Mus musculus: one gene and its partner. Each later gene encodes a partner of the first gene's protein in a complex. Links are inferred from orthologs where the notes say so. Each region holds a gene or a part of one and is shown on either strand. Other genes may lie near its edges. The genes, in order: Serpina10 and Proz.

Evidence for each region.
Region 2: the proteins of Serpina10 (region 1) and Proz are in contact, whole or in part, in a crystal structure (PDB 3H5C), measured with the Homo sapiens proteins. The link is inferred for Mus musculus from reciprocal best matches to the Homo sapiens genes SERPINA10 and PROZ. Residues at the interface, in NP_001094077.1 of Homo sapiens: Arg88, Lys89, Ser91, Met92, His94, Asp95, His257, Asp259, Lys260, Tyr261, Asn282, Phe283, Lys305, Met306, Asp308, His309, Leu310, Ala311, Leu312, Asp314, Tyr315, Leu316; in NP_003882.1 of Homo sapiens: Cys129, Pro131, Cys141, Leu142, Pro143, Ser151, His250, Met251, Arg252, Asp254, Ala257, Glu259, Asn260, Glu284, Lys285, Asp286, Phe287, His290, Leu291, Thr336, Thr337, Arg338, Arg390, Ser392, Leu393, Trp394, Gln397.

Annotation. Positions count from the first base shown.
Region 1 is NC_000078.6:103,628,642-103,633,124, reverse strand, and holds the start of Serpina10 (protein Z-dependent protease inhibitor isoform 1 precursor), read left to right. Parts: upstream 1-1,680; 5' UTR 1,681-1,741; intron 1,742-4,127; 5' UTR 4,128-4,166; coding exon 4,167-4,483. UniProt on the Homo sapiens protein: Inhibits activity of the coagulation protease factor Xa in the presence of PROZ, calcium and phospholipids. Also inhibits factor XIa in the absence of cofactors.
Region 2 is NC_000074.6:13,059,350-13,063,894, forward strand, and holds the start of Proz (vitamin K-dependent protein Z isoform 1 precursor), read left to right. Parts: upstream 1-1,558; 5' UTR 1,559-1,680; coding exon 1,681-1,750; intron 1,751-3,901; coding exon 3,902-4,065; exon of another isoform or gene 4,066-4,195; coding exon of another isoform or gene 4,196-4,219; intron 4,220-4,545. UniProt on the Homo sapiens protein: Appears to assist hemostasis by binding thrombin and promoting its association with phospholipid vesicles. Inhibits activity of the coagulation protease factor Xa in the presence of SERPINA10, calcium and phospholipids.

The DNA of each region.
Region 1 (4,483 bases):
GGCAATTTTCCTGGCTGGCTTTATGTGTCAACTTGACTCAAGCTGGAGTTATCACAGAGAAAGGAGCCTCCCTTGAGGAAATGCCTCCATGAGATCCAGCTGTAAGGTATTTCCTCAATTAGTGATCAAGGGTGGCAGGGTCCATTGTGGGTGGTGCCACCCCTGGGCTGGTGGTCCTGGCTTCTATAAGCAAGCAAGCTGAGCAAGCGAGGGGAAGCAAGCCAGTAAGCAGCATCCCTCCATGGCCTCTGCATCAGCTCCTGTTCCAAGTTCCTGCTATTTGTGAGTTCCTGTCCTGACTTCCTTTGGTGATGAACAGCAATATGGAAGTGTAAGCTTAATAAACCGTTTCCTCCCCAACTTGCTTCTTGGTCATGATGTTTGTGCAGAACTAGAAACCCTGACTAAGACAGCAATGTTGATGATCTTTAATAAAATATACTAATCCATGTCTATGTTGTGGTTTGAAAAACTGAAAATGTGTTGGGAGTCCTTGGTTCAGGTGAGATGTGTCAGCTAGCCACCTCTACCTGTGAGGAGGGGCCTGCCAGCCGGTGATCACATGCCACTCCTTAGTCTGCTTTCAAGCAAGGTGCCTCTCAGGATGACAGGCCACAAACTTCCTGTCAGCCAGTGCATTGCTTAATGGAGTTCTTCCTCAATGGCTACCTTCCTGTCCAATGAGTGTCCTCCATCATGAGATGAGCAGATAGATGGTCACATCTGCCAGCACAGATATCCTGGAACACCGCTGTACTTAAAGGCGTTATTTTCTTTTGCCTTCATGTTATAGCTGGAACATTACTGTTTCTTATCTGCTTTTTTTAATTTGAGAAATCCTTTTATTTATTTTTTTTCAGATAGGGTCTCATGTAGCCAGGCTGGCCTTAAACTTGCTATGTAGCCACGAATGACCTTGAACCTCTGATCCTCTTGCCCCCACTTCCATAGTGCTGGGATAACAGGTGTGCTCCACTGAGCCTTATTTCATGCAGTGCTAGGGACCAAAACCTGGAGACACTCAACGAACTGAGCTATAACCACACCCCATCGCTGGTTTGTTGTTGTTGTTGTTGTTGTTGCTGCTGCTGCTGCTGCTGCTGTTTCTCTTTTGATTGTTGTTGTTGTTGTTGTTTTTTCAATTTTGTGGGTAGGGTATATAAACTTTGTCTCACTTCAAGGCTAGAAAGGGACATATAGCAAAACTTACAATGACAACCTAGTAGGTCTGAAAAGCTGTACCTCACAGGGTGCTTTCCAGCTCAGGCTCTGAGTACTTGAGAGGTTCAGCCTCAAGAGACAGAAGGTAGTACATTGACCTTGTGCAGGGCTTGTATTGTAAGACATGACCCAACAGGAATCCAGTCTCCATTACTGGACTGACAGTTCCTTACGGACAAGACAGTGGGTCTGAAATTCTACCCAAATCCCTTTATGGTTCCCAGAAGCAGCCATGAGGCCCATGATAACCTTCTTTCTAGAACCTTCATCCCCACCCCAATGAGGGTGAGACTCTTGTGAATTCTGGTCATAGTTGGGGCCATAGGACGAGCCTGGGGAATACCAGAAGTTCTTTGGTTTTCTGGAAATGCAATCATATCCCAGCAGGGTGTTAATCAGTAACAGTCCCCAGAGGCCCACACTTTGGAATAACAAATATTTACTGAAGGCTTTGGGCTGCAAAGCTTCTGCTTGCCTCTTTGCTCTGAATGATCTTCTCGGCACCAGAGGTCCAGGACTGGTAAGAGGTGGTGGATGGCAGGGGTGCCTCTAGAGTGTCTACCAGGGAGAGGTGGGAGAATAGCTGTTTTCTCGCTCTCACTCTCTCTCTCCCAGTGGGCTTCAGCAGGGAGTGGGTGGGGTGGGGGAGTTAGAGGGCAAGAATGCTGTCTTTCACCTAAACTCCAAAGGACTGTACATTGAAGTTGGGCTCCGGGTAGCATCAAAAACATGTTAGCCATAGATAGGAGGCAGCCAGGGCAAGGGCTCTGAAGGCCTGGTATTTGTCTGCCACAGCTCACTGCCGAAGCAAGTGAGCCAGGGCTGGGGGGAGGTAAGGGAGGCACTGCTCTACACACATGCTCAGGGCTAAGTGTCAGGTAGGTAGCTTATTTCCTGCCCATCTCAAACTCTGTGGGACAAGGTGTGCCCTCTATACACCCGACGCTGCCCTAGGTCCCAGGAGCACCCCGTGTATATTGTGTATGGCTGTCATGATGATGATGAGGGACCTGAAAAGACAAGTTACCCTCTTCAGTAAGCAGGCGCAGCAACGGTCAGGTGCTACAGAGACACTTCAGGGGACGACTTAGTTCTAGGAAAGTGGGACATTGTGCTGGTGTGTTGGGAAATGTTCCTGACGGCCGAGACAATGACAAGTAACTATGGAATCAGGACTAATCTGAGCGCTTAATTTACAAAGCAGAGCTAAATACCATGACAGAATTCTCCCGGGGCAGCTCAGGCTGTTGGGACAGAATAGCCAACAAATGTGCAAATGTGTTTGCACAGTTCTGGAGGCCCAAGGTGAGGGACAACATGGTTGGGCTGTGATGAGGGCTCACCTCCTGGTTTGCAGATGGTGGTCTTCTCAGTGTGTTCTTGGTGGAGAGAGGAAGGCTCTGGTGTCTCTTCCTCTTCTTATAAGGACACTAAAGCCCTCACAATCGCCCCACAATTCAGACATCATCTAGTCACTCTCAAAGGCCCCACCTTGCCATAGCCTCACCTTGGAGGATATGGCCTCAGTTTTGAGTTGTGAAGGACTAAAGGCAAGTTGTCCATTTAAACAAAAAGATGAATGTATGACACTGGAGATGTTTCGTACCTGGAAAGAAGTAATGACCCGATGCTTACAGCAATGTGGTGACCTACTAAGGGGCCTCATCATTATGGCTGGGAAGCAATTCCTAAATGGTAACATTTGGGAGACCCAGCAGGGTTATCCAGGCTAGAAAGTGGGGATGCTGGCTTCTTTGGGGTCATTTAGCAAGACCTGTGTCTTGGGGCTGGATGTGGTTTGTTACGGGTACAGAAGAGGGACTGGGAGCAACTGGAGCGCTTCTTGTCACATTCTGACTTAGAGTCTAATGGTCAGAGTGAGGGGCTGTGCTGATGGGACCTATCAAGCATCCCCAACACCTATGGCTTGAGCATCTTGCCATCCAGATCTTCCTATTGTCCAGCAGAGAGTGAGCTATTGGGAACATCTTAGTGGCATAGGCAGCCAGCCTCTAGGACACTGGTAATATTGCTGTGAACACGATGTAGTGGCACAACTCAGAGCCAGGTTTCGGATCTGAGCACACAGATGAATCTCAAGAGAGGCAGACAGACAGTCACGGGGAGCGGGGTGGGGCAGGAAAGTCGCTACCAGGGCAGACTCCCTCAGGCTGCAGAACTGGGGCACAGACAGCCAGTGTGTGCCATGGGGGGAGGGGCAACGAGACTGAGCGACTTGAACCCAGGTCTTGTGTAGAAAAAGAATCGGCTGTGTTTCCTGCAGCCACCTAGGAGCTGTGGGTAGAGGACTGAAAGAAGACCTATCGGGAACTGTGTACAGGAGATTCAGGAAAGAACCGGCTTAAGTCAGAAAATTGTGGGGAGGCTTCCTTTTCTTTGCTGGATCCCCTCTTGGACCCTCCAAATCCCTAGTCAAAGGTGTCCCATATTAAGGTTCTGTGACGCAGCATGGAGGGGCTGTTTGATATGCCTAGTAGCCAAATGATAAAGGAAAAGCTCGAAGCAGCTCAGTTAATGGCCCCAGCTCCCACCTGATCCTGCTCTAGACCAAAGGGCCACATTTGGCCCTGCCAGAGGAAAGCAAGGGAACAGAAACTGGGGGAGGGACCACACATTGCTCAAGGATCTGCTCAAGAAGATGGGACTTGGAAGAAGTCTTGTAAAATGCCCCCATTCCCTAACCAGGTGGATGAATACACCGCCTATATGCTCTAGGTCAGTCTAGGGTATAGCTAACCTGTGATCAAGCCAGGGGAGCCCACACTTAACTTGGTAGGAAGGAAGAAGAATCATGGGAGAAATTTTTGCCTGGCAAAGATGTTTTATTAGGTGCTGAGATATTCTTCGTTCTCATTCATTCATTCTCTGTCTTTCTCTCTGCCTAGGATGAAGGGAAGTGGCCCCTGGCCTCCACAGCTGACCACATGAGGGTGGCTTCTAGCCTCTTTCTTCCTGTCCTCCTGACAGAGGTGTGGCTGGTGACTAGTTTCAATCTCAGCTCCCATTCACCAGAGGCTTCCGTTCACCTGGAGTCTCAGGATTATGAGAATCAAACCTGGGAAGAGTACACACGGACTGATCCCAGGGAGGAGGAGGAGGAGGAGGAGGAAAAGGAGGAAGGCAAGGATGAGGAATATTGGCTGAGGGCCAGTCAGCAGCTCTCCAATGAGACTTCAAGCTTTGGGTTCAACCTGCTTCGAAAGATCTCCATGAGGCACGACGGCAATGTGATCTTCTCACC
Region 2 (4,545 bases), on another chromosome or scaffold:
AGTCTGAAAGCTTAAGGCCTGTGATGGCTCTTCTTGGCATCACTGACTCTGTCTGAAATAAACTGAGACCTTAGTGTCTGGGCACTTTCTTGATTGAATCATGGTGGGGGCGCAGAAGACCGACTTTTAATCTGGATCTTCTGAGGGGGAAGACCGACTTTTAGTCCAGGCCACACATTCAGCTGCGAGGCCAGCCTGGTCTACAGAGTGAGTTCCAGGACAGCCAGGGCTACATAGAGAAACCCTGTCTCAAAAAACCAAAACCAAAACAAAAAGAAAAAAAAAAGGAAAAAAAAGTCAGAAGCTATAATGTGTAAACAGATGACCTGTGAGGTAAGAAAGACATACCCAGATGATGACAAAAAAAATAAAAATAAAAAAATGAAAAGTCAAACAAATAAACAAACCAACCCTGAGAAAATACCATTGAGCTTGGTTTGTGTTGGCCATCTGCTGGGCATGAGACCTGCCTTTAAGTGTGGTTTGTCTTCCTAGTGGGACTCCATTGGGGAAAACGAACTTTTCCTTTGAGAGTGCTTGCCAACTGGAGAGAACTTCTGGGTTCCTAGTGGGGTTTGTGTCTACCTCCCCTCCCAGCCTGGGAGCCGTCTGGCATAGATGTGTGCACGCTGCCCCGTGTCTGTGTCCATACGTGTGTCCATCCCATTGTATTGAGAAGGCCCACTTTCTTTGTTGTCTCGTGTCTACCTCGGGCTCTTACAAATTTCCCAGCATTCCTTCCTCAGAGTTCCCTGAGTGCTGACGGGAAGGATTTGGACCCCTCTTCTCAAGTGGCTGTTCTTGGTTTTGAGATTAGTTTTTAACAGTGTGTAAATGTTCACGTGGGATGGATCCCCACAGACAGATCTCTTCAGCCTTTCCCTAAGACACAGCACAGAGAGACCTCAAGACTGCTTGAACGTCACCTGCTTGATCCTAGAAAATTAATTTCCAGCTTGGGTCACTCACGAAAGGTACAGTTGAATTTGTTTCTCATCCAACTTTTTAAAAACAACTCCACAGTGTATGCATTGAAGATAGGGTGCTGCCCTCTCTGTCTTCTTCACTCTCTACCTTAATAAATAATTGTGCTTATAGGTGTCATTAGATTTTTGCCCCTGTGATTGTCCTTCATTCAACCAAAGATACAGGCACCTGCTGCACTGATAGGACACATTTGCTCACGATACTTTCGTCTCCTCCTACTCCAGCGTCCCTGTGCGTCTGGCTCCAGACACGCCAGCTGGCTTCCTCCTGCATGTCTCAGATCCCGCTGTGCACTCTCACCAAGGTCTCTCACCTGCCCATTTTCATCATGGAACTTTGCACTGTAAAATTCCCTTCCCTGTTAATGCTACCTGCCTCTCCTCTGTAAGACTACATATTCCCTGCGGTGGCATCCTTCCCACTCACTGCTGTGCCCGGACCCAGGAAGGCGCCTTGTGGGGGAAATGAGCCCACCTGTGCAGAGATCCCCTCCACGTCTCTCTCTCCCTAACAGTAAATCCGGAAGGAGCGGAATGAGAGTGAGCCTCCTCCCCGAGCCTCTGGGTCCATGGGTCATCTAGGCTAGCCTCTGTGTGTTCTGAGGCACACACTGACCGCAGTGCTTCCCAGGGCCCTGGACTTTGGCTGTTTGCAGACTTTGCTCTGCCTGGGCCAGCCAGGCTCTGGGTTAGCATGGCTGGCTGCATCTTGCTGCTCCGGGGCTTCATCCTTACCCTCATCCTGCACCAGGTGGAGCTTTCCGGTAGGCACTTGCTGTTTTGTTCTTTTGAAAATGTTCTCGCTTTTCCCCACTAATTTATTTATTCACTTTAGAATCTGATTGCACCTCCCTTCCTCCCGGCACCCCCCTCACACAGCCCCTCCCCCACCCCTCCCCTTCTCCTCTGCAAAGGGGGAGCCCCACCCCCCCCCGGGTACCAACCCATCCTGGCATATCAAGTAACTGAAGGGCAAAACATTTTCTTAAGGCAGAGTCTTATTCTATAGCTCAAGCTGGTCTAGGACTTACTATGTAGTTCAGTCTATCTTCAGCTCTTGGCAATCCTCCTGCCTCAGTTTCCCACATGCTAGAACCACAGGAATGAATCACCAGACCTAGCCATCTCATCCTTGGGACACTCAATGGTTCTAGAGATGATCCGGTCTCTAGGGGCTTGAAAGGACAAGCCATGATCTCATTCTCCCTCCTGAAAGTCAGTGTGGTACAGCCTAAGTTGTGCAGGATGAGACCAGGCTGGCCACCCCTTAGCCAAAGCTAGGCTGCAGCCTGTCTATGTGCCAGATGTTCTTATTCTGTGCCAGAGGACTGCGGGACAGCTAGCCTGGGCCTGGATCCACCCTGCTGTCTCCACCCTGGAGCATCTAAGCTTTCTGTGGCACTCCCGGCCTCTCTAAGTCTCCTCAGGGCCATCTGTGTGTGGTTCCAGGCCGCTGACCTCCACTCTCTCTGACTTCCACACTCCCTCCGTTCATGCCTCACACTCCTGTGGAAGTTTGCTCAATGCTAACTCCCTGTGAGGATGGAGCCCACATGGGCAAGTTCTGTCTGCCGGCTCTCCGCACTCACCCGGGCCTGAACACAAAGGTGCTCAGAAAATCACAGTTGTAGGGTTGAGCCTGCCGAGCCTTGTGATCTGCATGTATGGGACTACTTGGTACCTTGCACAGTGGAGTGTGTGTGTGTGTGTGTGTGTGTGAGAGAGAGAGAGAGAGAGAGAGAGAGAGAGAGAGAGAGAGCACTGTTAACTTGCTGTTGACAGTGACCGTGAGCTGGATGCTCCTGGTGAGTAGGACCAGATCTCTAAGTCCTGTGATGGCATCTGTCGTTGTTGTGGACAAAGCCTTGTTGCCACATCAACACCAAGCTGTGTCCATCTTTCTGGCAGGCTGTTCTCTCCTCAGACCACTGCCCAAAGAGTCCAAGATGGCAGCATGGGTACGAGGCACTCAGAGCCCAATTCTGCCCTATGAATGTGCAGGAAGGAAAACCATGTGGGCCTGAGCTGGGCCTAAGGGAGCAATTTAGCCTACCCTAGTGCTCCCTGAGCCCAGAGCTGTCTGTCTGTCTGCCTGTTCAGGACTCCTTCCTACTGTGGAGAAGCCACATGATCCCTGTGTCTTAGTTAGGGTTTTACTGCTGCGAACAGACACCATGACCAAGACAACTCTTGTAAGAACAACATTTAATCGGGGCTGGCTTACAGATTTAGAGGTTCAGTCTATTATCATTAAGGTGGGAACATGGCAGCATCCAGGCAGGCATGGTGTGGGAGGAGCTAAAAGTTCATCTGAAGGCTGTTAGCAGAATATTGATTTCCAGGCAGCTAGGATAAGGGTCTTAAAGCCCACACCCACAGTGACACACCTACTCCAACAGGGCCACACCTTCTAGTAGTGCCACTCCCTTGGCCAAGCATATGCAAGCAAATATATTCCTGTATTTCTTGTTCACACAAGGATGCCCTCCACTCTCCATAAAGCACTTGGTGACCTACTGTGTATCTGTCCACGGGTGTTACATTTTTGTGACACCAAGATTGAAAAGTGCCAGGGTAGATAACATTGAGGCAGACGATGGATGGTGTGCCTGCCCATGTCTTCATGCTTCTGTGTGGACACTCACCTACCGCAGCTGAGGGGGCATGGACTCTCACCTACTGCAGCTGACATAGCGTGGCTTCTCTGGGCCTGGATCCTCGATCCATAAAATGCCAATGTGTCTGCCTAAAACTCACAAGGGCCATCCACTCACTCAACCAAGAGAAAGTACACGCCCAGCCGAGGAGTGAGGATGCACAGAGCAGGCCCTACTGACCAGTGGGGAACAGCGTACGCTAGCTGAGGTCCTGGGTGAGAGAGGGCCCCCTGCTCACACTGTTCTGCCTCTCTACAGTGTTTCTTCCAGCCCCGAAGGCAAACAACGTTCTGCGGAGGTGGAGGCGGGGTAGTTCGTACTTCCTGGAAGAAATCTTCCAGGGAAACTTGGAGAAGGAGTGTTATGAGGAAGTCTGCAACTACGAGGAGGCAAGAGAAGTGTTTGAAAATGACGTCATCACGGTACGAAAGCCCTCAGTGCCCGTGTGCTGTCTAACAGTTCATGCACAATTGTCTCAGGACTAACTAGTTCGTTTCCTTATGCTGGGGTTGGCGCAAGCCTGACCTCACACATGAAAAAGGAGACCTAGAGATGCAGCAAGAGCCTCAGCAGCAGGTGAGGACCCCACTCCCTTCTGGTCAGGCTGCCTTGCTGGGGAGACCTGCCAATCACACCACAGCCAAAGCACCGCTCTCTGCTGCTTGCACGTGCCAGGAGAATTTTAGAAAGACGAAACTTTCCCCTTACAGACTCACAGCAAGAACACTCCCCATGGCCCATGATTAAGGAACATCTTTTCTCACACATGCATTTACACTAAACGGTCAGGTAAGAGTTCGACATTTTTAATTATTCATGAGTTCTGCCACAGGCAGAAAGAGGGAAATGTAAGGAACACTGACGATTTCCATGTAAATTCCTGAGAATATGGTTGTAAAATA